Macaca mulatta: one gene and its partners. The protein of the gene in region 2 purifies or fractionates together with the protein of the main gene of each other region. This does not show direct contact. Links are inferred from orthologs where the notes say so. Each region holds a gene or a part of one and is shown on either strand. Other genes may lie near its edges.

Evidence for each region.
Region 1: the proteins of PPP6R1 (region 2) and ANKRD28 purify together in Homo sapiens (co-immunoprecipitation; 4 studies listed by BioGRID and IntAct, with this or other methods). This does not show direct contact. The link is inferred for Macaca mulatta from reciprocal best matches to the Homo sapiens genes PPP6R1 and ANKRD28.
Region 3: the proteins of PPP6R1 (region 2) and ANKRD44 purify together in Homo sapiens (co-immunoprecipitation; 5 studies listed by BioGRID and IntAct, counting the BioPlex papers as one, with this or other methods). This does not show direct contact. The link is inferred for Macaca mulatta from reciprocal best matches to the Homo sapiens genes PPP6R1 and ANKRD44.
Region 4: the proteins of PPP6R1 (region 2) and PPP6C purify together in Homo sapiens (affinity purification with mass spectrometry; 11 studies listed by BioGRID and IntAct, with this or other methods). This does not show direct contact. The link is inferred for Macaca mulatta from reciprocal best matches to the Homo sapiens genes PPP6R1 and PPP6C.

Annotation. Positions count from the first base shown.
Region 1 is NC_133407.1:32,692,850-32,700,624, reverse strand, and holds the start of ANKRD28 (serine/threonine-protein phosphatase 6 regulatory ankyrin repeat subunit A), read right to left. Parts: upstream 4,417-7,775; 5' UTR 2,958-4,416; coding exon 2,832-2,957; intron 1,748-2,831; coding exon 1,664-1,747; intron 1-1,663. UniProt on the Homo sapiens protein: Regulatory subunit of protein phosphatase 6 (PP6) that may be involved in the recognition of phosphoprotein substrates. Involved in the PP6-mediated dephosphorylation of NFKBIE opposing its degradation in response to TNF-alpha.
Region 2 is NC_133424.1:67,571,680-67,578,891, forward strand, and holds part of PPP6R1 (serine/threonine-protein phosphatase 6 regulatory subunit 1), read right to left. Parts: intron 6,497-7,212; coding exon 6,264-6,496; exon of another isoform or gene 6,174-6,263; intron 5,490-6,173; exon of another isoform or gene 5,386-5,489; intron 4,820-5,385; exon of another isoform or gene 4,766-4,819; coding exon 4,579-4,765; intron 4,491-4,578; coding exon 4,353-4,490; intron 4,274-4,352; coding exon 4,208-4,273; intron 1,390-4,207; coding exon 1,277-1,389; intron 1,181-1,276; coding exon 1,067-1,180; intron 531-1,066; coding exon 368-530; intron 283-367; coding exon 130-282; intron 1-129. UniProt on the Homo sapiens protein: Regulatory subunit of protein phosphatase 6 (PP6). May function as a scaffolding PP6 subunit. Involved in the PP6-mediated dephosphorylation of NFKBIE opposing its degradation in response to TNF-alpha.
Region 3 is NC_133417.1:101,932,768-101,939,979, forward strand, and holds part of ANKRD44 (serine/threonine-protein phosphatase 6 regulatory ankyrin repeat subunit B), read right to left. Parts: intron 4,691-7,212; coding exon 4,608-4,690; intron 2,924-4,607; coding exon 2,832-2,923; intron 176-2,831; coding exon 1-175. UniProt on the Homo sapiens protein: Putative regulatory subunit of protein phosphatase 6 (PP6) that may be involved in the recognition of phosphoprotein substrates.
Region 4 is NC_133420.1:22,610,451-22,617,662, forward strand, and holds part of PPP6C (serine/threonine-protein phosphatase 6 catalytic subunit), read left to right. Parts: intron 1-2,113; coding exon 2,114-2,255; intron 2,256-6,864; coding exon 6,865-6,944; intron 6,945-7,107; coding exon 7,108-7,212.

The DNA of each region.
Region 1 (7,775 bases), on a different chromosome or scaffold from region 2:
TGTTATGATGGAGAAATTGGCCCTGGTAAATGGAATTACAGTTCAAACTTTCTAACCAAGGTAGTATTTGTCAGTACTATTAAAATAAAACCAAAACAACAAGAAAACCTTAGGAGTTAAATGGAACAGAAAACATGTTTTCCACCTTTTCGTGCATCTATATACCCTTTTTGCTATTTTCTTAGAAATGCACACTCTTCAGTATACCCTGGGTAAAGTGACCAGACACTCCATTTAAAACAAACCATGGCCAGGCGCAGTGCCTCACGCCTATAATCCCAGCACTTTGGGAGGCCAAGGCGGGCGGATCACCTGAGATCAGGAGTTTGAGACCAGCCTGGCCAACATGGTGAATGAAACTCTGTCTCTACTCAAAACACAAAAATTAGTTGGGCGTGGTGGCAGGTGCCTGTAGTCCCAGCCACTCGGGAGGCCGAGGCAGGAGAATCGCTTGAACCTGGGAGGTAGAGGTTGCAGTGAGCTATCATGCCACTGCACTCCAGCTGGGCAACAGAGCCAGACTCTGTCTCTAAATACATACATACATACATATGTCCTGAATTAGGTGCATGTTTCCAACTAAATATAAACTTGAAGTCAATTCACTTAGAAAAAGCTTTAAAAAATATATAATGACAGCATTCTGTTCATTACCCAATGTTAAAATTAACAACAGTTTTAGCCAATGCCTCAAATCTATTCAGATAATCCATTGTTTTAAAAATAAGCTAAAACCTTTTTGTATCTACCTAAGTGGTCACAGCAGTATTGTATCAAGAAAAAAAAAAGGAGGAAAGATGAGAGTTAAAAATGAGCTTGCAACGGGTGCTTTCTTAAAACCCCAATCATTTCTAGGTCGTCTGTTTCGGTGTTGCCACAGCGACTTTGTGAATCATATGACTTTTCACTCCCTCCATAACTCAGGGGTACATTTGTTTCTGGTAAAAATATATACATTAGTGGATGTAATTTTGTTAGAGTACATAATGTACTTTCAGCTACAATTTAGTAAACTACATACTGGCCACTGAAAAAACATACAGAGAGAAAATTATCCGTATATCCACTCTTTCTAAAACTGTCCATCATGTCAGCAGTGAATATACTACTGTATCTTTAAGTCTGAAAACTTTTCGAACAATGACTTTACCGAAAACCTAATCTGACAAAAATTAATCAACCATCATCATAAAACACTCACCATGATTATTTACAAAAAGCAAATCTGATCTTATATTTAGATATACACTTAAAAGAATCCTCATTTGAAATGCACAGTTAAGTATTTAATGGTGAAGTATCATGATTTCTGCAACTTACTACATATACATGTAAAAGATGTATATCAATAAAGCAAATATGGCAAAATGTTATCAATGCCAAACATAAGTGAAAGGTATATGGGTAGTCAGAGTGTTTTTTTTAACTTTCCTGTGTTTAAAAAATTTCAAAGTAAAAAGCTGGGAGAACAAAAGACCCCTACTGGCTATTACTGCCCTGAGTGTATGTCCAGTGTTTTCCCTTTTGCCTCAATACCTTCCTGCCCTCATTTAAAACAACTGTTACAGAGTTATATTATGTCTTATAAACAAAAATCACAATTCTAGGAAATAATTTTAATAAGTAGTTTTAAAGGCTGGCATCAGTGAATTAACTGTTTTACCTGAAAGTTAACATCTTCTTTCTTAAATATTAGTGCTCGAACTTCATCAGGATCTCCGTTAAATATAGCTTGCACCAGTGATGGCTAAAATATAAGAGAGTAATAAAAACATTAGAATCATCCATGTGGGGTGACTAAGGATATTACATAGTTTCTGAATCTACAAGTTTTCTTCCCTGTAGCAATAATCACTTTCGACATTAGCCAGAAGTTTCATAAAACCAAATCATGTCAAAGTACAGGATTTCTACTTGGAAAAAAAAAGCCTAATTAAAAAAAAAAAAAAATGAATTCAGTTTGACCCAATTTAGGTAGTATAATAAACACAATCAGATTTTATTTCATTTCTTATAAGTAGAAGCCTTTGTTTCTGTATATGACAAAAAGAAAGACTCTTCCAAATACAAATGTGTGATCTCAACACCTACTTGTGGGACAGAACTTGTTAAGCAATTTCCAGCCCATGAAGTAAGGCTCTTTTGAAAAGGTCTGTTTGGGGCATCAAATTATCTTACATGGATTAGCACTACAGGTACAAAGATACAAATCCCAAGAAAGCAAACCTGGCAGTTGATGAAAATAGCCACTAATCAAAGACCAAAAAATACTGGATACTTAAATAACTTGAAAAGACAAACACATGCATAACTAAGTATAATGATTTCTTAACGACACAGACTCTTGATAAGGTATACTATACTAGTCAAGGAGCCAGCTGACAGTAGCACTAAAACCAAGGTTAAAGATGAAGACTGAATCTCATACAAAGTCTTGCATGTAAATACATAAAATTCATTACAGAAAAAGCCATGCTTTGGTATTGCTAGGGGTAGTCAACCTTTCCTAAAATATGTAGAGTTCCTGATTCTTGTTACATCAGTTTCTGAAACCACAAAATGAAAACAGAAACGTGGTTGCCATAACTACTAATTCTTAAATTATTTTTAAACAGTCTTTTTAAGAGATTAAGACATAGTAAAGACTGAAATGTTATTCGAAAAAGTAAAAATGAAATGTGCATTTTATACAAAAATATTATTGCATCATATTTACACATATATTTCTTTAATTTGGGTTTGTAAAGAAACTATTGGAAATCTACATCTACTCTTAAAAAACAAGATTTATACTACTAGTTCAGTAGAATATAGTAAACATATAAACTTACATATCTTACCAATACATTTCCAGAAGGTGGAGAATGTAGGGATTTATTTTCCTGTGGCAATTTAGAAATGAATGCAGGAGACTCATCTTCTACCTCCTCCAAAACAACAATACACACTCGACTCATTCGATCTTTTAAAACACTAAATTCCAAGCTATGTGATAAAAGTCACAGTTGGAAGAGCACAAGTAGTTTTTCCTCCTCTTCTGTACAACACTTACAAACATTCTCCGAACAGCACAACTGTTTTTTTTTTTTTTTAAGTTAATAAGTACTACTGGAAAAACAAGTTTAAAATTATGACTACATAATTTGTAACTTCCTAAATATAACAAAATTCTATTATTTCTGTTGGGTTACTGCAATACTTAAGAAGAAATTTCACACCAACATATCAATAACTAAAACTGAGTCCAAGCTCATTTAAAAATATTTTTCCTCTACCAAAAGAGTCTTATTGCTCTATCTCTGAAATTTACTTCCACAAAACAATCATTGTTTTTGGTGACACACCACCACACAATATAGAATGAAATGAGAAACAACTGCTATGACGGCGATGATCACAGCAATACCCACTGTTTCCTGCAAGGTCATAGAGTTACCAGTAGCTGTTTTGCTTATAATTGAAAATAAAAAATAAAATCTCACTATTCTGTTTCCACTTCTAATTTGTCTTCATTTCTTCATCACTGGTTTAATGCAGATACTATTCACAGAAAAAAAGATCTAGAGCTCAGCACAAATCCTGAAAATGAAGCTCAGAGGTTAACAATTCTTTCAGTGTTTGGGAAAGGGGCGAAAAAAAGAAAAAACAAAACCACTCTGCATTAATAGCAAAGCTGCAGTACATTTACATGTGATGAGTCAGATCACAAGAGACAATACGACTCTTGGTACTAGAATACAGCTTGATTAATCCAGATTTCCCATATAATAGAAGAAACACAGTTAGCTTTATTTCCATCGATAGTATAAGCAAGGCAGAGCATTCATTCTTTCTCCATCAGGCAGTTGTCTGTGGCTGCTCCAGCAAAAGGGCACAGGCACCAGGCAGAAATGGTGTTAGTGGAGAATCCTAATAGAACAAGCAGGCTGTGAAGGAATTAGAAGGCATTTGAGCTCAAATTACTGCTGCAGGCTTTTTGTTTTCTTAAAAAAAAAAAAAAAAGAGGGAGAAAAAAAAAACATAGTAGTTTATCATTCCAGTGTTTCCTTTGATCTCCACATGAATACAGCTTCCATTAAACAGTCTTCATTCAGAGGAAAAAACAGCAGACTGTGCATCTTCTTTGAGCCAACTACTTTATTCAATCATCTGCCTCTTTGCCAATATAGTTTCCTTCCACTGTGAAAACCGCTACAGTTATCCTTTTCAGATTTCAAATGCTTTCTTGTTCCTCAGATGATCTTGCAAAACACCGCTGACATCCCCAAATGAGTAGGTCCTTAAAAAATATCTATAGAACCTCAGTATCAGTCCCACAGAAGCATTCCAATGGAGCAACAGTCTGAAGAGCAAAGACTGCAGACCCGCAGGATGAAATGCCTAGTAATGCTCACATGTTACACTTACCAGAGATCTGAGCTACTGCTCGGGATGTAGCTTCCTCTAGCAGGAGAAAAAAATAGTGCATTTGGACAGCCTTCACAATTAGAAGGTTCATGCCAGTTCTGTGACTAATCCAGATCAAACTAAAAAATTCTATAACTGAAAAATGAGTGCGCTTTTAACATTTTCCACTAAAAGCCACAAGGAAATCTGGTGTACTGCCTCTGCTGACTAACAGTGGTTTTAGCAAGTAAACAATTCCTAACGGCTTAACTGCTTTCGTGTGTTACAATAAAGCAAATGTTTAACCCTATGATGACAGTTGCAGTAAGAATATGCCTGCAATGGACTCATAAAAGTTTAAAGATGGAGAAATATTTTATAAGATTATAAAAACCATGAAATAGTTTTATTCATATTTTTACCAAGATCAGTTTTAATCTGCCAGATGTATTTTATTTTCTAGAATGCAAAGTTTAAACAAATGAAATTTAAGATTGTCTAACAATTTCTAAATTGGTGAATTTAATCAATCATTGATTCATATTTTAAAGGGAAAAGCAAACATTTCATAATGTAGAAATCCTAACCTAAAATGATATAAATCATTTGATTTTTCACTGAAGAAATAAAATAATCCTACCTTCCCATTTGGATAGGGAATAAAGCCTTAAAAATCTGTTAAAGAGGTACATTAAGAAAAAAAAAAAGGCCTTCGTCCTGAATCACCTATGTCAAAAGGGTACAGGGTAATGCAAATAATCTCCCTCCCTATAAATTTCCCAAAGTCACAAATGTCAAAACCAATCATTTGTTTTTTTTTTTTTTTTCTTCTTTCTCTGTTTACCCAACATGGGGGATATCTCTCAAGATAAAACTTACAAAGAAAATACCATGGTCCCCCTTCAATCTGTGTTTTTCATATTAACTAGTATTTTTATTAATAAACATACTTTTGAACATCTGTGATATGCTATGTGCTGCACATTCTCATTTAATACAATAATCTTGCTATATTCCCATTATAGAGGGAAAAATGGACTCAGAAATGATGTATTTTACCCAAAGTTGTGTAAATTAATAAAGCTGTATATAATTTCAAACACATACTCTTTCTAATCTATTCTGCTATGCTATCACTGAGTACACACACATACAGACACACTCTCACCACTCATCTCCAGAACTTTGCAACCTATAATACTAGCTTATAAAAGTGATCTTAACAAACAGGTAACCTATAAAGGTTGTGAAAAGTTTAGATAACAAAGGAATATAATATTTATTGCTATATTCTAAAACAAGTTATTTCCAAATGAGTACTTCAAAGCAAGTCTTATAACCATAAAAAACCCAGCATGATACAGATAATATAAGAATGTCAGAAATTAAAACAAGAACCATTGAAAGCTATAAAATATATCAATCTACGAAAGAAGCAATAACTAACATATTTGTACCAATTAAAATATGCTAACAATTCACTATATTTTAAAATATATAAAATACTTTTAAGCCAAATTAAAGGTATGTAAATATTAAACATAAATTATGTTATTCATCTCCACATAGCTGAATCAAAAATACCTTAATATTTGAAATACCTGAAAGCGAAACAACTATAGTAATAATATCCTATATTTCATCTTCAGGGTTCTCAGGCCCCCAAAGCAAAATCTCTTTTTATCTTAACAAGCTTAACTTGTTCCAAAGTATCTAGTACCTCAGTTCACCTACTTAGACTTAAGCAGGTATATCCTGTTTCTTGTTTTACGTCAACCTCCATACTTAGGTCTTTTCCAACCAGAAAGCAAACTCCTTGAAGGTAGGGACTGTGTTACACACATATTGTTTCCTTCCACCTATAAATAATTCCACTGTAATGAATTCTAACATCACAAGACTCTGGAAGGGTGGGAGATTTATAAACAAGAATAGTGGGGGTGTGTTGGTATACATATATTTTAACCAGAAAATATAGGAGGCATTAAGGTGCAACAAAGTGAGTTTCATATCTTTAATAAGTGAACAATTAAAATTTCAGAAGCTGATGGGATACAACACAAAGGTATGGGGTGATGGTTAAAACTAAGGGCTCAGGAGTCATTCCACCTGAAGTTCAATTCTGATTCCATCATTTCCTAGCTGTGTCCTTGGGCAAACTACTTAAATTCCCTGAGCCTAAATTTCTTGACACTTACATAAGAAAAATAATAACCTGTAGAGATTTTTATCTAGGAGAAATAGAGTAATAGTATGGTGCTTGAGAATGTAGGCTATTTTGTAGTCAAATTGTCTGAAGTTCTAATCCAGGCTTCCCGCTAACCTAATTCTGGGATCCTGGGCTACTCATTTAGTAACCTCTCTGTGTTCATTTTAACATCTATTAAATGACATTAACAGAATTTACTTCATAGTGTTGTGAAATCTAAACAAGATAACCTTATTGTTATGGATATTTGGGATAGCTGAATGATATCTCTTGTGAAGCCAGTGAGTGGATCAAAGGCTATTAAACTCCTCCTCCCCTCGACCCAGTACAAATGAGGTAATTCAGACTAAAGTCTAGAGATCCCATTCAGTTGCTAGGTCCCCAAACATTTCAGTGGTCTCTTGAGAGTCTGCTGAAAGGTCGTTTGAGACTCTAGTAACTAGACAAGCACATACTAAGTGTTAACTGGGGAGAGGGAGCAGTAAACTTAGGCGAGAAAGACTACCAGGTTCTTCCATTCTTCTACCTTCACTAGATTTTACAGTTTAGGGACTGTAAAATTCCTTTGGGAAAAAGGATAGGAAGTACTAGCCCAGGTATATTATAAAATCAAAAGCAAATAAAAAATACACAGAGAAATATGTCAGTTTTTAAATTATTTAAATTAGCAGTAGTTTTGTGTCTTCTATTGAATAAGACAGGCTCCTACCCTCAAGGAACTCACATCTTACAGGAAAAGGAGACAAGTGAATATTTAAGAAATTCAAAACAGAGAAGTACTTCTGATAAAAAAAAAATGACTGATAAAGATTGTGCAAACTAAGTTCAACTTTTTCCACTTAGAGAAATATCAAGGGGATGTGGTTGTTTTCTTTGGTACTTATTTTTTAGGCCTTAAATTAAGTTTTTAATAAGCTAACAAGTTCAACTCTGACAGCTTTATAATCCTTCTATTCTTTATACTAAAATGTATCCTATCAAGAGCTTACTCCTACTATTAATAGAATCACATAATGGTAAAGCTGGCTTAAACCTTTTTACTGATTATAAAAACATTAAATCACTGGAAGATAATTTTTGGATTCCTAATTGTTATGCCAGAATTTCTTTTTTTTTTTTTTGACACAAATGATTTTTCCTTTCTGCATCAAGATCCAACCCAAACCTCACCTTTTATCTT
Region 2 (7,212 bases):
ACCCCCAGCCCCCGAGCCCCCAGCCCAGTCCGGTCCCCACCCCAGCCCCTGAGCCCCCAGCCCCCGAGCCCCTAGCTCAGTCCGGTCCCACCCCAGCCCCTAAGCCCCTAGCCCAGTCCAGTCCCGCACCAGCATGGTGTTGGGCACGTCCAGTGCCAGGAGCTCCTGCGTCAGGGCTGCATCATTGGCGCTCAGGGCGCTGGCCAGGAGCTTGACCACGTGCAGCCGCGTGTTGCCCAGAGGCGGAGCCAGCATGCCCCACGTCATCTGTAGCGGCTCCAGCTGCAGATACAGGGAGCCCTGGTTCCCAAGGGCTGCGCTTCCTGCTTCCCCCGCCTCCCCAAGGACCACAACCCCCGCCCCTGACCTTGGGAGGCTCCAGCAGGAGCTGGTGGAAGCAGCTGAGCCGCGGGCGCAGGGCGTGCAAGGCGCCCACACTGGACACAGTGCTTTCCAGGGCTCCCTGGGCCAGGAGCTCCAGCTGCCCATCCACACTGCTGAAGAAGTTGTTCACAGTCATGGACTCGGACCTGCAGCAGGGCAGGGTCAAAGGCAGAGTGAGCCTAGACGGCCTGCGTGCCCACACGACAGCAGGCGCAAGGACCGAGTCTGCAGGGTCTGGAGGAAGACGAGGAGCCACATGCCCCCGGCGCTGCTCTCTTCTGAGGCCCTTCAGACTACACCTGGCTGGGGTGGGGTGGGGAGCTCGCCAGGTGGCAGCATTGGCAGTCCACTGTGGGGGCACCGGTGAGGGATGAGGGCGGGAAGGCACACCCAACAAGCTAGAGGCCTTTATGGTAAGGCAGGGGCACGGGGGCCTGAGGTCCCTCCCAACACAAGCTGCAGCAGTGGCCTCAGCCTCAGCGCCCTCATTTGTCAAACAAGACAGGAAGATTCCTCCCTTGGGCCCATACTGTCCACTGCACAGGGAGCACAAGCAGCCACCAGAGCAAGGCGCCACTTGGAGGCGGCAGTTTCACTTGGTGGACACCGAGACCCGCCTCTGAGGGGCCAGAGAGCCCCAGGGGATGGGCAGCATGCACGGTCTGCGGCTCATATCCCTCACCTCGGCCTCCTGGGCTCCAGCAGGGTCAGCAGCACCTGGATCCCACTGACGATGACAGACTGGCTCTGCTCCACCTCGAACATGTTGCTTAAGAGCTGCTCAATCGTCTCCTGCCTATGGGGGTGGGGGCGGGGGTCAGGGTGAGGGGCCAGGGGCCCAGGGCATCCCCAAGTCAGCTCCCCCCAGCCTTAGCTTCGCCCGCACACCCACTTCTCCAGGGTGGCCAGCAGCTGGTCAGGCTCCGGGCTGTCCTGGACTTGGATCATCTGCTCCCGGCTCAGGCGGACGATGTCACACAGGGACTGGGACGCGTTGGAATGTTGCTGGGATGGGGAGAGAGAGGTGAGGATCCTGGGTGGGCCACCGGGCCCTCTGCAGCCTGGTGCTGGAAGCCCCGCCCCCGAGCTGACCATCCAGGGAAAAACGGTCACCCAGACACAGGGACACGCGTTAAGAAGAAGGGGGCACAGGCCGGGCGCGGTGGCTCAAGCCTGTAATCCCAGCACTTTGGGAGGCCGAGGCGGGCGGATCACGAGGTCAGGAGATCGAGACCATCCTGGCTAACACGGTGAAACCCCGTCTCTACTAAAAAAAAAAATACAAAAAAAACTAGCCGGGCGCGGTGGCGGGTGCCTGTAGTCCCAGCTACTCGGGAGGCTGAGGCAGGAGAATGGTGTGAACCCATGAGGCGGAGCTTGCAGTGAGCTGAGATCCGGCCACTGCACTCCAGCCTGGGCGGCAGAGCGAGACTCCGTCTCAAAAAAAAAAAAAAAGAAGAAGGGGGCACAGAAGCACCAATTGCTAGAGGGAAAATGGTGGAGAGAACAGGAACCCAGGAAGGCTCCCCAGGACAGGAGGCATCCACAGAAGGCCCACGAGCTCGCACACAGGGCCGGCAGCACTGCCCGCAACGACCCAGACAGCTTCGACTGACGAGTGGGTATGCCCAAACTGGTCTGTCCGCACAGGGGAGGGCTAATCAGCCAAAAAAAGGAGTGTAACTGATCCACGCAACCACGTGAATGAGCCACAAAGACAGTGAAACTGATCCACACAACCACGTGAATGAGCACAAAAACAGTGAAACTGATCCACGCAACCACGTGAATGAGCCACAAAACCAGTGAAACTGATCCACGCAACCACGTGAATGAGCCACAAAACATCATGCTAGTGAAAGAAACCAGACACAGACCACATGGTGTATGATCCCATTTTATGAAATGTCCAAAGACAAATCCAGAGACAGAATAGTCTGGTGGTTGCCAGGGGCTGAGAAGAGAAAGGGAAAAATTGGGAGGGGGTGCTAATGAATACAGGGTATCTTTTTTTTCTTTTTTCTGGAGAAAAGGTCTCAGCTGGGTGTGACAGCACATGTCTATAATCCCAGCACTTTGAAAGGCCGAGGTGGGAGCATCACTTGAGCCCAGGAGTTTGAGACCAGCCTGGGCAACGTGGCAAAAACTCCATCTCTACAAGTACAAAATAATTAGCCAGGAATGCTGGTATGCGCCTGTAGTTCCAGCCACTCATGTGGCGGAGGCAGGAGGATCGCTTGAGCCCAGGGGGTCAAGGCTGCAGTGAGGCAAGACCACACCACTGCACTCCAGCCTGGGACCACACCACTGCACTCCAGCCTGGGATCACACTACTGCACTCCAGCCTGGGCAACGGAGCAAGACCCTGTCTAAAAAAAAAAAAAAGATACGGCCTCTACATCACCCCAGGCTGGAGTGCAGTGGTATCATCGTAGCTCACTGCAGCCTTGAACTCCTGGGCCCAACAGATCCTCCTGTCTCAGACTCTTGAGGAGCTAGGACTACAGGTGTGCACCACCAATGCCAGCTAAGTTTCAAATTTTTTGTAGAGACAAGGTCTTGCTATGTTGCCCAGGCTAGTCTCAAACTCCTGGGCTCAAGCGATCCTCCAGCCTCACCTGCCAAAATGCTGGGATTACAGGCAGGACTTGTTTTTTGGAGTGATAAAAAATAATCTAAATTCAACAAGATGATAAACAACGCTGTGAATACACTAAAAGCACTGAACTGTAAGCTTCAGTGGGTGCGTCATATGCGGTGTAATTTATATCTCAGTAAAGCTGCTACAGAAGAGAAAAGCATAAGCAGAGCTGAGTCTAACCCAACGGGCAGCCGCCAGGGCTCGGCTGTGTTGCTCCCGGGCCATGCCTCAGGGCCCTCACAGGGACAGGCCCTAGCCTGGGTGAGCCCAGAGCCATATCTCTGCTCTGCAAGCCTGTACGCCTCTCAGAGGCAGCAGCTGGCATGGGGAGGGACACGTTGCTCCCGGGGGCCTCGGACGTCGGAGGCTCTTGACAAACACCTACTCTACACTAGGCCCTGTGCTGGACACCAGGACAGAGATGGAGACGTAAGCTGGAGAAACACATGGATGTGGGGCCCCCCCCAGAACTAAAGGGGAGGATGTGAGGGTCCTTGAAAGCAAGGCTGCTGGATGGACCCTTAGAAGGACATGGAGGGGTTCAATCAGGCAGGAGACAGGGAAAAAGCTGCCAGGCCCAGCAACAGCACAGGTCAGGGTGGGCAGGGAAGGATGTGGGGCCAGGGCTGGGACAGGTGATGAGGAGGGCCCCTCCCTACAAGGCATTATGTGCCAAGTTCCTGGGTCATGAAAAAAACCTTTCTAGCACTTTCGGAGGCCAAGGTGGGAGAATCATTTGAGTCAAGTTTCCTTCCTTTTCTCAAAGGGCATGGATATACCTGGTTCTCAAGGCTCTCTTTTCTCACCAATTTTTTTTTTTCCTTTTTTGAGACGGGGTCTGTCACCCAGGCTGGAGTGCAGTGGTGTGATCATGACTCACTGTAGCCTTGACCTCCCAGCTCAAGCAATCCTCCTGCCTGAGCTTCCCAAGTAGCAGGGACTCCAGGTGTGCACCACCACACTCAACACACGTAAGTTTTTATGTAGAAATGGGTGTTACTATGTTGCCCAAGCTGGTCTCAAACGCATGGGCTCAAGAATCCTCCCACTTCGCCCTCCCAAAGTGCTGGAATTACAGGCTCGAGCCACCGCGTCCAGCCCCAATTCCTCTTTTAAAAGCGGGGAGCTGGGCATGGGGAACGGACTCTAAGGGGAAGCTGCAGGGGCACTGGCAGCACTCACATTCTCATCCTTCGACGGGTGGATCTGCTCAATCAGCCGCTGGACGATCTTCTCCTCGTTGAGCCACTGAGGGTGAGAAGGCGGGGGCTGCATCACCATCCACCGTGTCCAGCCCCCTACCCCCAGAGGAGCCGGCCCTGCTCACATTGACAACGTCCTGCCTCAGCTGGGGCCGCTCCACACAGGTAAGCAGGCGCAGCAGCAGGTCCATGATGGCCGAGGTGCCGATGTGCCGCAGCAGCAGGTCCACGAAGTCATCCTTCTTCCGCAGAAAGGACACAAGCTGGGGACGCATGGGCTGCGTCATGCACAGGGCCTGGCCCGGCCGCCACCCCCAACCCCACGTGGCATCAGGGTGGGGGCCAGGGCACCTGGTCCGTCTTGCGGTTGATGAGGATGCCCATGACCTTGCTGAAGAAGCTGGCCAGCAGCGGATTGAGGCTGCCGGTGCTCTGCAGGAAGCCGTAGAGCCGGTTCAGGAGGGACTCATCAGCACCCAGGGCGTCATTGATCTGCGGTACGTCTGAGGTCAGAATCTCGCAGGCCACACTGGGGTACCTGGGAGGCAAGCACAGGTGGGTGGGGGCTCAGGTTGGGGTAGGGGGCAAGGCTCTACCCTCTTCTCTGCACCGGGCACTGGGTTCCTGGGGCCGCAGAGACCCCATCCCGGAAGGGGAAAGGGCATGACAAGGCAGAGGACAGGGCTGACGCAGAAATAAGGGCCCACACCAGGCCTCCCCTACCCTGCTAACACCCAGCCGTCCCATCCCAGGCTCCTCACCACCCCCAAGACAAGCCTGGTCCTGAAGCTCCTGTGCTTCCCAATCCCCCAACAGCTAACGCTCATCCCTTCTGACTCAGCGGCTTCACTCGCGGCCCCGTACACTGCCCCAGTTCCGCTGACTCCTGGAACCTTGCTCAGCTTCCAGCCCCACCTCCTGCCTCCCTTCTCCAAACTCTCACACGGTGCCTGACGGCTCCAAGACAAGAGCCACCCCAGCAGCAGCCATTCAAGGCCCTGAGGGACCACAATCTGCTCTAGGACTGTGCGGAGGTGCCCCTTGGGAGGCCAAAGCAGGCAGATCACTTGAGGTCAGGAGTTTGAGACCAGCCTGGGCAACATGGCGAAACCCCGTCTCTACTAAAAATACAAAAATTAGCCAGGTGTGGTGACTTACAGTCCCAGCTACTGAGGAGGGTGAGGCAGGAGAATCACTTGAATCCGGGAGGCAGAGGTTGCAGTGAGACAATCATGCCACTGCACTCCAACCTGGTGACACAGTGAGTCTCCAAAAACAAAAAAAAAGTGTCTTTTGAGTATCACTTGGATTAAAAAATAAGTAATCTTTTTTTTTTTTTTTGAGTCAGAGTCTCACTCTGTCACCCAGGCTGGGGTGCAGTGGCCGGATCTCAGCTCACTGCAGGCTCCGCCTCCCGGGTTTACGCCATTCTCCTGCCTCAGCCTCCCGAGTAGCTGGGACTACAGGCGCCACCACCTCGCCCAGCTAGTTTTTTGTATTTTTTTAGTAGAGATGGGGTTTCACCGTGTTAGCCAGGATGGTCTCCATCTCCTGACCTCATGATCCGCCCGTCTCAGCCTCCCAAAGTGCTGGGATTACAGGCTTGAGCCACCGCGCCCGGCCAAAAAATAAGTAATCTTAAAATGTCTTCAATAGCAGACAAACGTCTCGCAAACACACAAAAAATTTTTTTAATAAAAAATAAATAAAATAAAAAGCGTCGAATAAACAGAAAACCCAGCCAGGCATGTTGTCACACACTTGTGGTCCCAGCTACTCGGGAGATTGAGGCGGGAGGATCGCTTGGGCCCATGACTTTGTGGCTCCTGTGACTATGCCACTGCATTCCTTGGTCTGCACCCAGTGAGCTGTGAGGCCTTGTGCAGGGGGGGCCTGGCTGCTCCCTGCCTCGCTTTCCTGATCCCCAAACTGGAGTTTACTGATACTGACGCATTTCAGGGTAGCTGTGAGGCTTGCGTAGTGAAGGTATGTGTGATGCTGATAGGGACGGGCTGGCCAGGAGCGAGGGAACTCACTTGTAGCGAAGCCGCTCCTCACCGCTAGCGGGCGGCTCCTGGGTGACCCAGGCCACCATGGCCTGCAGGTGGGGTGGCTGCAGCAGGAAGTCCAGCAGCTTGCGGTTGACCACCTTGCACTCCTGCAGCACGTCTTCCTCGTCCAGCAGCTCCGGCAGGCTCAGGTCCTCCCGCTCCAGCAGCGTGTCCAGGTGTGAGCTTGTGTGCAGGTCAAACTTCCAAAACATGGCGCCCTACAGGCATGGACACAACCAGCGCCGCGTCAGACGCCCCAGGGGAGTCCCTGCTGGACGAGGGGCTGACCACAGGGGCTGAGTGCCCACCTTGGGCACAGCCTCTCCCCAAGACCCAGCCCTCTCCCTCACACTGAGCCCAGCCCCACCCTGGGACTGCCCACAGGCTCAGTGCCTCCATCACTCATGCTTAATAAGGCTCCCACTGAGTACCAGGCTCCTACAGCTGCCCTCGAGCCCACCCCTCTTCCCCACCTCCAGCCTCCAGCCTCCAGGCCGCCTCGCCTGAGGTCCGGGGGGTCACTTCACACCTGAGGCCTCGGGCCTGGTGAAGTCCCCAGTGTGGACTGTGTGCAGGGCATGCGAGTAGAGGCTGGACACTGTGCACTGAGAGGCCTCAGGCCCTGTCTCCCCATGAGGGTCTGGGTCCACTATCCCCACTTTTGGGTGGGACACTGCAGGGGCGGGGCCTGAACCTCTGTCTTCAAATTTGCTTCAACCTGTATTTGTTCAACAAACTCAAACGCCCGATGACTTTCAGCACACGGCTGCTGCTTGGCCCAGCAAATCACCCGAGGCTGCGTGGGAGGCATGGGGCGGTGGCAGGGGGAAGAGAGGAAGTCTGTGCGTCTCCAGGCTGTGGCCGTTGCCTGGACACCACTCACACACAAACACACCCCAACCATCCTCTCACCCAGCACCTGGGCTGGAACGAG
Region 3 (7,212 bases), on a different chromosome or scaffold from region 2:
ACCATGCTACCCAGATTGGAGAGGGTCGTCCTGCTCAAATTGTCTTTTTTTAAACAAACGAAGTTGACAGCCGTCATTGTACTGGAAGGAGAAAAAGGCATCATGGTAGCCAAAATGAGGGCCAGGCAGTCAGCCACGTCTTTGTTAGGAGCGCAAGCCAGGGCCGGGGTATGACCTGGGCGTAAATGCAGACAAGGCAGTGGTTAGTTCTGGGGAGTCTAGAGGAGGCACGAGCATTCCACAGTACATCTCAGATGACCTCACAGGCGGAGATGTATGTTGAGTTAGAAATCATGCCAGGTAAAAGGAGGAGTTACTTCTCACAAGTCATGCTAGGGGTGAGGCTAGACGGGGAGGGAGGGAAGACATTTTATGGAGGGCTTTTTATTTTTGTTTTCAGCTCATATGACTACGACAAGCACGATATTATCCAATGTTAGGCAGGATTCCAGCCTTCATTTAGTGAACACAAACATGAGGGGGTGGGTGTGGGACACAATTTCACAATAAACAGCAACAGGACAATCAGGAAGATGTTTCCGCCTGACAGCACACACACACCATGAGCCTCAGGCCTGGGCCTGAGAAGGACTCTCATTCTGAGAACAATGACTTTCTATTGTTAGGTAATTGTGTGTCCAATTAGAAAAGATATGGAAAATTAGATGACTGCAAAAGTGAGTAATGAAGTTTTGTCACTTTATATATGTTTCATAGAAAGTAGACACCAATAACTGGTTTTAGAAAAATGGAATCATTTCAGTAGATCAGACACAGGAAAGCACTGGTTGTTTATGATTAAAAATTTACAATCATTTAGGAGAAATTTAACAAAAACATTTTTTTTGATAGGGTTTCACTCTGTTGCCCAGGCTGGATTGTAGTGGCATGGGCCTTGATCTCACTACAGTCTTGTCTTTCGGACTCACGCAATCCTCTCACCTCAGCCTCCCGAATAGCTGGGACTGTAGGTGTGTGCCACTACTCCCAGCTGATTTTTTTTTTTTAATATTTTTTATTTGAGTCGAGGTCTTGCTATATTTCCCAGGCTGTTCTCAAACTCCTGGGGTCAAGCGATCCTCCCACTTTGGCTTCCCAAAGTCCTGGGATTATAGGCATAAGCCATCACACCTGGCCTAATAGAGTACTTAAAAATGGCCACTCACCAACCAAAGTCCCAAATCTAAAATGTAATGGATGTGAGAAAATTACTGTGCTTGTCATAATTAGAACCATGTTATTCTCATTTAGACTCAATGGGTCCAGCCCAGATAAGAAAACTGTCTTAACTCATAATACAGGTTCTTTGGGGAAGTAGATTAAGTCTTTGACTTGATTATTTCCCTTATCCAACCTTTATTCTACTGGCCTGAAAAGGGTTAGCTGCCTTCTCGGCTGGTCAAAGTTTCCACTACACAGTGAGTAGGGCACTTGCTCAGTAATTCAGAGGAATAGCTCACTAAAACTTCACGTTTGTTGTTTTGTTTATCATCACTCGACCTGCTCTCCCCACCCTGCTCTTTAGTACATCATTCATTTTTCTGGTATGAACACAAATAAGAATGAACAGGTAGTTTAACATTTCATTCCACAAAAGTCAGTGATGAGTAAAGGAATCGTGGTTGTACTGCTGTATAAAATGGCCCCAAACGTTCCCAGGCCTTTGGGATGCAGGTATGCACCAACCCAGGGCTCTTGTTCCTAAGGTCACTATCAGCTGAACAAACCTTCAGTGCAGCAGATTTACACCAGGAAAAGCAAAACTAATTTATTCTATTCTCTTTGACCATTTTGGAGAAAAACTGTGGGCCTCTGCAGGCCGACCCTAAGTCTACAGTGGCGTTAAGAGGGTGTGGGAAGGTGAGGCAGGAAAACCAAGGAGATGGAGTAATAGGGAACTTTCTGCACTTCCTAGATGAGTCAGGTGGGGGACAGAGCAGGGTACATGCTAGGATAAATGGGGCTGGAAAATCAAAACTAATAAGAGTTAGCTACTGATGCCAGTATGGCTGCTTACTTCTGAGAAACAGGCATGAGCTGCTAATCCCAACACCTGTAACAAGCAGTTGATTGAGTTACATTAATACATTATAATACTTTAATTAAATGCCACATTTTAAAAATTACAGAATTCATAAATATCCAGAAGTTCCTTTTTTGCTCCCCAAGGTTAATAGGCGTTGTGCTTAAAATGGCAGCTTAGTGCAATTCTAGTAGCCATTCTTTTCAAAATGTCTTAGGAAGCAGAGTAGAAAGCTTCTGTTAAGAATTAGTTCATTAGGAAAGGAACACTATGCAGATCGGGGGAAGCTTCAAGCCTAGACACTGATTAAGAAATTTTACTCTTGTTCCTCAAATTTCCATACTTGGAATATGAGTTCTGATCTGTACTTAAAGAAAAAAAAAAAGTTTGATCTCAGAATGAACTTAAATACAATCAAAAATCTAGGTTTTCATTTGAGCCCTTGAGCATGCACTAATGACATGTGTAATCCCTAACTCTTCAGCATCTGCAGTTAAAATTTTGAGTGTCAACCTGAAACTCTTTTAGTGTGTCTAAAATATTTTAACCACTGTGCTGAGGAGTTAGAGACCAGCTGCTGGCATTGCATGCAAAATGGACAGCACTGGGTGGGCTACAGGTAGACTATGTGATTTACAAAAAGACAGACAGGACCAGTTATCCTTGCTTGATTTCTCCCACATGGGACTTCCAAGGGGGACAGAATTCTTAACCGCTTTTTAAACTAGCACCTATCTTTCTCATTTTCCTCTGGCTTCGACTAGCTTATGGAAAGTACCTGCAGTCACTGTTCACTTTTTCCACTTACCATTTTCATCTACAGCAAGTACACAGGCCCCTTTGGCCAGCAACTCCTCAACTACCACCTTCAAGCCATTGCGTGCAGCAACGTGGAGGGGTCTAAAAAACACAAGACCGAGCATCAGTTGTGATACATACTTGGGTGAGAATGTGGAATTCTGGTTAGCCCATGTCGCTAAAAGGAAGTACTTAGACTCTGCAAATAGTACATGGATGTTTTTACTTAAGAAAAAAAAAAAATTGCTGCCCAGATCTTTTCCAGGTGCTAATGGTCCAACTGTTGTTGTATGTTTGGCCCAGATCTTGCTGCAGATATTACAAACATTCTGCATCTCAAACAATCTCAATGGCAGTAAACAGGAAGACAGAGGAAGAACTCAAGCTTTGCTGTTTTTTGCAGAAGGCCCTTTACTGCTTGATTTCTAACACAGCATTTGAATCACTGTTTCACACAGTTCAATAATATGACTGGCATTAATGCCACCCATATATATGTATAATTTCAACCCTCCTTGTTACTACAAAATGCACACAAATGTTTTAGTGAATTTATAATACCTTAAAGAATTATGTCAAACTCAGTATATTGTGCTTATATACTGCTTAAGAATCTTTTTTTTTTTTTTGAGACAGGGTCTCACTCTGTCACCCAGGCTGGAGTGCAGTGGCATGATCACAGCTCACTGCAGCCTTGACCTTCTGCTGGGCTCAAGTGATTCTCCTGCCTCAGTCTCCTGAGTAGCTGGGACTACAGGTGCAAACCACCGTGGCTGGCTAATTTTTTTATTTTTTGTAGAGAAGGAGTTTTATCATGTTGGCCAGGCTGGTCTCAAACTGCTAGGCCCAAGTGATCTGCCTGTCTGAGCCTCCCAAAGTGCCAGGATTACGGGCATGAGCCACCACACCCAATTTTTTGTTTGTTTGTTTGTTTGGAGACAGAGTCTTGATCTTGTTGCCCAGGCTGGAGTGCAGTGGCGCGGTCTCAGCTCAGTGCAAACTCTGCCTCCCAGGCTCAAGTGATTCTCCGGCCTCAGCCTCCCAAGTAGCTGAGATTACAGGCACCCACCATTACGCCCAGCTAATTTTTTTGGTGGTGGTGTATTTTTTAGTAGAGATGGGGTTTCACCATGTTGGCCAGGCTGGTCATGAACTCCTGGCCTCAAGTAATCCACCTGCCTCAGCCTCCCAAAGTGTTGGGATTACAGGCATGAGCCACCACGCCCTGCTTAAGAATCTTAAATGAAAAAAATTCCTTTGCCTTTAAAACAAATGCATAAATAATTTCCTAAAGCAGAAAATGAAACAGCTTTTAGATCTTTCACACCAAGGGTTACACTGAATTATATTAAAATATAATCAAGACAAATAGCTTAGAAACTCTTCAAATGTATTCTGGGAACCTGATTTGTAAAACTGTCATTTTCTAGTCAGAATACATAATGCTAATACATAATACAAATAGCTTCCCCAAATATGTCAGTCCATAAGATTTTTCTAACAGCCCACTAAATTTATAATATTACCCCAGAAATATCAGCAAAGAAAAACACAGACTTCACAAAATTCTATGAAGACATATCAAAAGAAGGATTCTAACTAAAACTGCCTAGCTTGGTCAGCACTTGTAGGTATGTGACTGTCACCTTCATGCAGGGGAAGCCAGGTCTGCATCTTTCACCACTGTGCCCCCCAGAGCTAGTCTGGCACACAGCAGGCTCTTAATATTTATTGAATAAATGACTATGACCCTGGGTTCAAGTCCAACTTTAGTGGTTACACTTACGTCTGCAGTGCATTATTTTTTGCATTAATAAGGCTCTCGTCTTGTATCTTGTCAAGTATTAACAAGGCACATTTTTCATGACCCTAATAAAGAAAAAGAATGATAAGAAATACAGGACAGAGACACAGAAAAGTTACTGTGAAATTTCTTCATTATGATTTAAATTGAAAATGAATTTCCTCTGCCTAACAACATTCTATAGAGCTATTTTCTGAGTAATTTTTTTTTCTTCTCAATAGGGAATGGGCTCCAGACACTCTAAGAGTCCTAATAGGGTCTATTAGAACTTGGTTAACATAAGCCTGATCTAAAATATTAATGCTGCTAAGATAAATTTTAAAATTAATCCCCAGAGAGGTAAAGCAGATGCTAGTTTAGCTAGGCCAGCTGGTAAGTAGGGAATAGAATTCGGAATATTGTCTGAATCCTACAACATTTAACATACATCAAAAGTCCCACCTCCTATTTCAAGACATCAGTTACTACTTCAATTATCCATTTATCCTTGGAATTCCCATTACATCTATTATCCATATCATTCATCATCATTAATTGCCTTATACTGTGAAGAAACCCTATTTCAGGAAAACTCATTCTTTTCTTCCTCGACCAGTGGAAGATCTCTCTCTGTACCTTATGAAAATAGATGGTTAATAATCTTTGAAAATCAACTGAGGAGTCAGAGACCCTTTCACAATTTTCTTCCTAAGCCCTTGCTGACAAACATGTGGCCTGCAGAGCAGTCATATTAGTATTACTGGGAGTTAGAACTGCTGAATCTCAAGCTCTGCCCCAGACCTAATAAATCAGAATCTGTTTTTTCACAGATCTCCTAGGTGATTCATTTGCATGATAAAGTTTGAAAAGCATTGCACTTATATTCACCAAAATACTATACCTTGAAATAAACTTCATAAAGCTGAGCACTTTTTGTGGTTCCCATGGGCTTCCCAGAGCATGAAGTGAGAAAATGCAAGCAATGAAAGGAATGTCTGAGACTTCTGGTACCATATAGGTAACACTGATAATATTTTAACTACACTGAAATAAATCACCGCCATGGGTGCTAACTGGCGTCATACTATAATGCCTTATATGGGAGACCGTTAAATATAATTTTAGAAATGTCCATGGAGGTTTCATTCTGATGCACTGCTGTTGGAGGGTAAACTGTTGTGACCTCATAAGAGGGCAAGTTGGTCTAAAAATATTTATATCTGGCAGGCTGCGGTGGCTCACGCTTGTAATCCTAGCACTTTGGGGTGCCAAGGCGGGCAGATCATGAGGTCAGGAGTTCGAGACCAGCCTGGCCAGCATGGTGAAACTCTGTCTCTCACAAAAAATATAAAAATTAGCCGGGCATGGTGGCGCGTGCCTGTAGTCCCAGCTACTCGGGCTGCTGAGGCAGGAGAATCTTTTGAACTTGGGAGGCGGAGGTTGCAGTGGGCCAAGATGGCACCACTGCATTCCAGCCTGGGCAACAGAGTGAGATTCCGTCTCAAAAAAAAAAAAAAAAAAAAAAAAGTATATCATTAGACTCAATAATTCCACACTTAGGAATTTATCTTAAAGTAATGAGTAAGGTTGTTTATAAAAGATTCCTCTGCAATAAGCATTATTTATATAGGTTGAGCATACCAAATTCGAAAATCTGAAACAAAAAATGCTACAAAATCCAAAACTTTTTGAATATTGACATAACACTAAGATTTCTGGATTTGGGATAATCAACAGGTATAATACAAATATTCCAAAATCCAAAAAATTCCTAAATCTGAAACACTTCTAGTCCCAGCCATTTCAGGTAAGAAATACTGAACTTGTACTAGCATATAATTGAAAACAAGCTATTTGTCTAATAATAGGAAATGGGTTGAATAAAAGATGGCCCATTCCTAAGCTGAAACACTACAAATCTAAAATACCATAAAACATGATGTTTAAAAGATATTAATATTATACGATTCAGCAATAAAACCAAATTTTGTAAAATCATATGTATGACATAAAAGATAAATTATATATATATGTAATTTTACATAATTTATCTTTTCTTTTTTTTTTGAGATGGAGTTTCACTCTTGTTGCCCAGTCTGGAGTGCAATGGCGCGATCTTGGCTCACCACAACCTCTGCCTCCCGGGTTCAAACGATTCTCCTGGCTCAGCCTCCTGAGTAGCTGGGATTACAGGCATGCACCACCACACCCGGCTAATTTTGTATTTTTGGTAGAGACAGGGGTTCTCCATTATGGTCAGGCTGGTCTCGAACTCCCAACCTCAGGTGATCCACCTGCCTCGGCCTCCCAAAGTACTGGGATTACAAGCATAAGTCACTGTGCCCGGCCTAAAATTTATCTTTTATGGAAGAAGGAATCTTGAGCAACATGTGAACACACCACTATTTGAAAACAAAAAAACATTTTTCTGCATTGAACTATACACCAGAAAAAAGAGGAGAGGGTAGAAATACACATAGATCTGTTTATTTGCTTCACATTAGTGTATTTTTTGGCTGTGTTACTACAATGTCTTCAAATGGAACAAAATGAAAACAAGTAAAACTGCTTATACTTTGCAAGCCACCTAACTAAGGTCCTAACTTTT
Region 4 (7,212 bases), on a different chromosome or scaffold from region 2:
GCTTGTTTAACATGGAAAGGATCTGACTTATTAAATGTAAATTGCATAATAATTTTTTGCCATGTGACAGTCCCCATTTCAGTATATGAAAAGGTGTGTATTAGTCCATTTTCATGCTGCTGATAAAGACATACCCGAGACTGGGCAAGTATAAAAGAAAGAGGTTTAATGGACTTACAGTTTCACATGGCTGGAGAGGCCTCATAATCATGCAGAAGGCAGGCAGGACCAAGTCACATCTTACATGGATGGCAGCAGGCAAAGAGAGAGAGAGAGACTGTGCAGAGAACTCTTGTTTTTAAAACCATCAGATCTCACGAGACTTACTATCATGAGAACAGCACAGGAAAGACTTGCCCCCATGGTTCAATTACTTCCCACCGAGTCCCTCCCACAACATATGGGAGTTCAAGATGAGATTTGGGTGGGGACACAGCCAAACCATATCAAAGTGATTGTGTACTTTTCTACATTTAACTATGTCCTCTAATTAATTGCCTTAGTAAGCCACTGTAGATAGGGTTGGGTAATAGCTATCAGTAATGAGTGGGCATAAAAATAACCCAGAACCCCTGGTTTAAGGCATAAATCTTCAATTGACTATTATTTATTCAAACTTTTCGAGCATTCATTTTTATCTCTTGTTAATCTATGGATGGATGAATATACATACCTACACATTTGCTATTAAGGTAGATGTTTGCTTTTCTTTTGGAATGTAGTGTTACTGTTGAACTTTTTCTGGATCCTTCTCTCATTATCTTTCCTTCTGAAAGTTTCTGGGTCACTTTCCTATTTTTTTTTTTTTTTTTTTTTGAAATGGAGTCTCGCTCTGTTGCCAGGTTGGAGTGCAGGTGTGATCAGCTTATTGCTACCTCTGCCTTCCGGGTTCAAGTGATTCTCTTGCCTCAGCCTCCTGAGTAGCTGGGATTACAGGCGCGTGCCACCATGCCCAGCTAATTTTTGTATTTTTACTAGAGACGGGGTTTCACCATGTTGGCCAGGATGGTCAGGATCTCTTGACCTCCTAATCTGCTGGCCTCGGCCTCCCAAGGTGCTGGGATTATAGACATGAGCCACCGCACTTGGCCACTTTTCTTTCAGTTGTTTTCCTATTGGTGTAATATTGGCCCAAGTCAGATATTAATGGGAAGTGTAAATAGTATATTATCATATATGGTTGTTAAATGCAAAACTGAACCTAGAATGCTGTTATAATTATGGTATTTGTTTTTACAAAAAAATTTTTTTTCTTCAAGTAGGCAGCTCTTCCAATACAGTTAAAATGATTTCTTAAAATAGAAAATTATTTTATCTGGGCATGGTGGTGCACACCTGTAGTCCCAGCTACTTGGAGGCTGAGGTGGGATGATTGTTTAGGCTCAGGAGTTCTAGACCAACCTGGGCAACATAGTGAGACCCCCATCTCTAAAAAAAAAAAAAAAAATTGAATTTTTAAAAATTAAATTACTTAAAAAATACTGGTTAACAGATGACCAAATCAACTAATGCAGGTAATAGAGGATTGAAAAAAATGGTTTTGCCAGGTATGGTGGCTCACACCTATAATCCCAGCACTTTGGGAGGCCGAGGTGGGCAGATCACAAGGTCAGGAGTTTCAGACCAGCCTGACCAACATGGTGAAACCCCTGTCTCTGCTAAAAATAGAAAAATTAGCCAGGTGTGGTGTCGGTGTGCGCCTGTAATCCCAGCTACTCAGGAGGCTGAGGCAGGAGAATCACTTGAACCCAGGAGGTGGAGGTTGCAGTGAGCCGAGATTGCGCAACTGCACTCCAGCCTGGGTGACAGAGTGATACTCTGTCTGGAAAAAAAAAAAGCGAGAAAATGGTGGTTTTTCAGGGAAAGTTCTTGAGAGAATGGCACAGCAGATTCTTGTAGGTTTCCCTGGAGTCCAAAATCTTGTTTCTATAAACATTTAATAGAAACAGTTTGTTTACTTCTATTTTAATTTTTGTTAAAATCAAATTTCCAAATATTTCAGTATGTAACTTTTTATTGTAGTTATGAACCATGAGTTTGTGCAGTTTGATGTAATTTGAAAAGAATATTGTGGCTATTGTATTGTTTGTAACTGTACACTTTTACTTCACAGGGTGATTTTGTAGACAGAGGTTACTATAGTTTGGAGACCTTCACTTACCTTCTTGCATTAAAGGCTAAATGGCCTGATCGTATTACACTTTTGCGAGGAAATCATGAGAGTAGACAGATAACACAGGTCTATGGATTTTATGGTAAGAACTCCTATTTCTCTGATTCTGAATATTATTTTACTTTCCTCTTTGGAAAACAAAGCTACACAAGTCATACACATGCTTTATGTATATTATTTTCCCCACATCCTCACTCCTTCACTCCTCCCCAACAATTGAAAATCTTATGCTGGAGAGATTACTGTTAACTTTTTGGTGTGCATCTTTCTAGATCTGTGCCTCAAAGTGTAGTCCTTAGTTTATCTTGCTGGAATCACCTGGGTTCTCATTAAAAATGTAGATTGTGGGCTGGATGGGGTGGCTCACACCTGTAATCACAGCACTTTGGGAGGCTGAGGCAGGCGGATCACAAGGTCAGGAGATCGAGACCATCCTGGCCAATATGGTGAAACCCCGTCTCTTCTAAAAATACAAAAATGAGCTGGGCGTGGTGGTGCATGCATGTAATCCCAGTTACTCGGGAGGCTGAGGCAGGACAGTCGCTTGAACCAAGGAGTCGGAGGTTATGGTGAGCCAAGATCACGCCATAGCACTCCAGCCTGGCGACATAGTGAGCCTCCGTCTCAAAAAAACAAAACAAAACAAAACAAAAATGTAGATTGCTGGGCCTCACCACAGATTTATTAATCAAAATATTTTGGAGTGGGAATCTAGAATCTGCTGAAGGTGAATGTTCTGCACAAATTGGAGAGTCCATTCTCATCTATTTTGTGTGTGTGTGTATTTATGTGTGTTTATATATGTACAAACACACACTAAAATGGGGTCATACCTGATTTTTTGACTTTATTGTCATGTTTATAGCTGCATCATATACCATATGGATGTACCATAATTGATGTATCAGTTTTTTCTCTATCATTAGACTTTAGAGTTGTTTTTAAGCTGCTATTACACATCCTTTTACATATATCTCTGTATGCTCACTCCAGAGAATGCTAGGACCTCAGGGATCAGAAGCAGAACTTAGTCATAAAAAGCAAAATAGGCCAGGCGCAGTGGCTCACCCCTGTAATCCCAGCACTTTGGGAGGCCGAGGCGGGTGGATCACCTGAGGTCAGGAGTTTGAGACCAGTCTGACCAACTAAACCCCGTCTCTACTGAAAATACAAAAGTTAGCCGGGCATGGTGGTGGGGGCCTGTAATCCCAGCTACTTGGGAGGCTGAGGCAGGGAGAATTGATTGAACCCAGGAGGTGGAGGTTGCAGTGAGCCAAGATTGCGCCATTGCACTCCAGTCTGGGCAACTGAGCGAGACTATGTCTCAAGAAAGAAAAAAAAGCAAAATAGCTACTTCTCTAAAACTTTTATTTGGTTGAAAGTTACAGAGAGAGAGAGAGAGAGCGCTTATTAGGAACCCCCTTGAAGGAAATATAATTATCAAGATTATGAATTTGGATTTTCCTTGAGCACAATTAAGGCAGATATTGAGAGATTTGGAAACATTAATTGCAGAACCCTTTAGTTTTAAATTTTATATTTTGAATTATCTTCTGTCATTATAAAGATAGGCTGGGCTGGGCGTGTTGGCTCATGCCTGTAATCCCAGCACTTTAGGAGGCCGAGGCAGGCAGATCATGATGTCAGGAGATTGAGACCATCCTGTCTAACATGGTGAAACCGCGTCTCTACAAAAAATACAAAAATTAGCTGGGCATGGTGGCGCTTGCCTGTAGTCCCAGCTACTCGGGAGGCTGAGGCAGGAGAATCACTTGAACCTGGGAGGTGGAGGTTGCAGTGAGCTGAGATTGTGCCATTGCACTCCAGCCTGGGTGACAGAGCGAGACTCTGTCTCAAAACAAAAGAAAACAAAGATACTCTGAACTCTCTTACTCTTCAGTTTGTCTGCCATTATCAATTAGAGAAATTTTGATAATTGTTTTTATATAATTTTTTAAATACTTGTAAAGTTAGATAATATTTGTCTCCTTTCTTTTTTCTTTTTTTTTTTTTTGAGGCGGAGTCTCGCTCTGTCGCCCAGGCTGGAGTGCAGTGGCCCGATCTTGGCTCACTGCAAGCTCCGCCTCCCGGATTTATGCCATTCTCCTGCCTCGGCCTCCCGAGTAGCTGGGACTACAGGCGCCCGCCACCTCGCCCGGCTAGTTTTTTGTATTTTTTAGTAGAGACGGGGTTTCACTGTGTTAGCCAGGCTGGTCTCGATCTCCTGACCTCGTGATCCGCCCATCTCGGCCTTCCAAAGTGCTGGGATTACAGGCTTGAGCCACCGCGCCCGGCCTATTTGTCTCCTTTCTACAAGTTACTTCTTATTTTCGTTTACAAAACAAACACCAATTGAAATACAACTTTTGGATCAATATTTTAGATACCATACTATGATATTAGCTCAGTGAAGATACTAAAACTAATGTTATCAAAACACACACACCTACTATATATATGTAACTAATGCTACATGCATAATATATAAAACGCATATTGTTATATATGACTAATATATGACATATGTTTTTTATATGTGACTGTTTTTATATATACAGTTATACTCCAGAATTCGCCCAGTTTTCATCAATGTAGGGCTAAAGGGGAAAAAAATGGGGTGAGGAAGGAGGACATTTTAATCAAGGTGCCTTGACTGAGGAAAATGACAGCAACACAAAATCTAGTATTGAACTTTCTTGTTCCCAGAGCTCTGTTCTTGTAGTGGTGTTGTATGGTTTTGTTTAATAAAATGAAGCTTAACAGCTCCTCGGGAATAAGATAATTTTAGTTATTATAAGACTTACATTGATTTTAAAGGAATAAGATATCCCTATATAACTTTACACTGGGCCTTCAGTTCAACACATGCTGGGGCCGGGCGCGGTGGCTCACGCCTGTAATCCCAGCACTTTGGGAGGCCGAGGCGGGCGGATCACAAGGTCAGGAGATCGAGACCACGGTGAAACCCCGTCTCTACTAAAAATACAAAAAATTAGCCGGGCGCGGTTGTGGGCGCCTGTAGTCCCAGCTACTCGGGAGGCTGAGGCAGGAGAATGGCGTGAACCCGGGAGGCGGAGCTTGCAGTGAGCCGAGATCGCGCCACTGCACTCCAGCCTGGGCGACAGAGCGAGACTCCGTCTCAAAAAAAAACAAAAAAACAAAAAAACAAAAAACACATGCTGGGCAGTTACTATAGAGCCAAGCTCAAGATCCCTGCCTGCAACCTGAGCTCATTGTTAGGGCTCTCTTATGCCAAGTTTACATAACAATCTTGCTTCACATAGATATATAATTGAGAAAATCTTGGGGAGTGGTCATAACCTGCAGACTTCTTTCCTATATCATTTTCAGCTTCACTTAAGGCAATAATGGTATGTCAGGTTTTTTTTTTTCTAAAATTATGGAAGAAGTCAAAGTGCAGAGCTTCCATGGTGTTAACAGAAGAAGTGTGTACCCTATTAACTATGTAGACAGTCAGGGTATAGTGGCTCACACCTGTAATCTCAGCACTGTGGGAGGCTGAGGTAGGAGGATTGCTTGAGCTCAAGAGTTCAAGACCAGCCTGGACAACATAGGGGGACCCCCATTTCTACCAGAAATAAGATTAGTCAGGTGTGGTGGCACATGCCTGTAGTTCCAGCTATTCGGAAGGCTGAGGTGGTAGGATCGCTTGAGCCCAAGTGGTTGAGGTTACAGTGAGCTGTGATCTTGCCACTGCTGATTGCGCCACTGTATTCCGACTTGGGCGACAGAGTGAGACCTTATCTCAAAAACAAAAAGCTATGGAGGCAGCAGGAAGAGTGTTCAACTGGGAATTTGTAAGAACCTGACTGGCAGTCTGTCCTCAGTTGTGATCCACTGAAGCTCAAGTGTTTAGTTGGACAATTTGCAGAAAATCTCAGAAGAGACAACTTGGCCCTGAGAAGAGTTAGGAATTGCTCATGTTCCTATAACTAAGGGTCCTCTAATTTGTTTGATCTGATTATCCTGCTAGAATGGTCTCCTTAAATAAATTTATCTGTTTACCAGAATTACCTAATATTAACATAACTGTAAAAACATTTGCTTCAGGTTGTGTGAAATTTGTATTTGACTCTTCTAATGATAGCATTTTGGTTAATAATTTCAGCTGCTTCTTAGGTCCATTCCAGGAATGAAGAGCAGTACTACATCCTTAGGAAATACAGTCATGTGCCACATAATGACATTTCAGTCGATGATGGACTGTATATACAACAGTGGTCCCGTAGATATAACGCAGTTGAAAAATTCCTATTGCACAAATACTTACCCTTGTGTTACTATTTCCTTACGATATTTAGTACAGTGACATGCTTCACAAGTTTATAGCCTAGAAGCAATAGGCTATATCATATTGCTTAGGTGTGTAGTAGGCTAGACCATCTGGGTTAGTAAGGATATGTGATGATGTTCACACAATGACAAAATCACCTAACAATGCATTTTTCAGAATGTATCCCCATGATTAAGGGACATATAACTGTATATAGTTAATCACTAGTGTTCTTTTGGCTCTATGTGGAGGTCCTAGTAGGACTAAATATGTGTCGTATCTTGCTGTCCTAGTTTAAGCTGAATTTCTGTTATACTGAAAGCTGCTCTAGTATTGGATATATTGTTTATTTTTATTGGCAGATTCATTAATTAAAACCCTTCTGTTTCTTTCACAGATGAGTGCCAAACCAAATATGGAAATGCTAATGCCTGGAGATACTGTACCAAAGTTTTTGACATGCTCACAGTAGCAGCTGTAAGTTTCTATTTTTAAAGTCTCATGTATGTTCCTGCCAATAACACATTGCATATTTTTATCTAGTTGTCATCTCAATTATGTTGATATCTTTAGTATTCATTGATGAATTTAGATATGCCTGAGGTTATATGTTCAACTCTTTGTTATCCTTTTTTGCTAGTTAATAGATGAGCAGATTTTGTGTGTCCATGGTGGTTTATCTCCTGATATCAAAACACTGGATCAAATTCGAACCATCGAACGGAATCAGGAAATTCCTCATAAA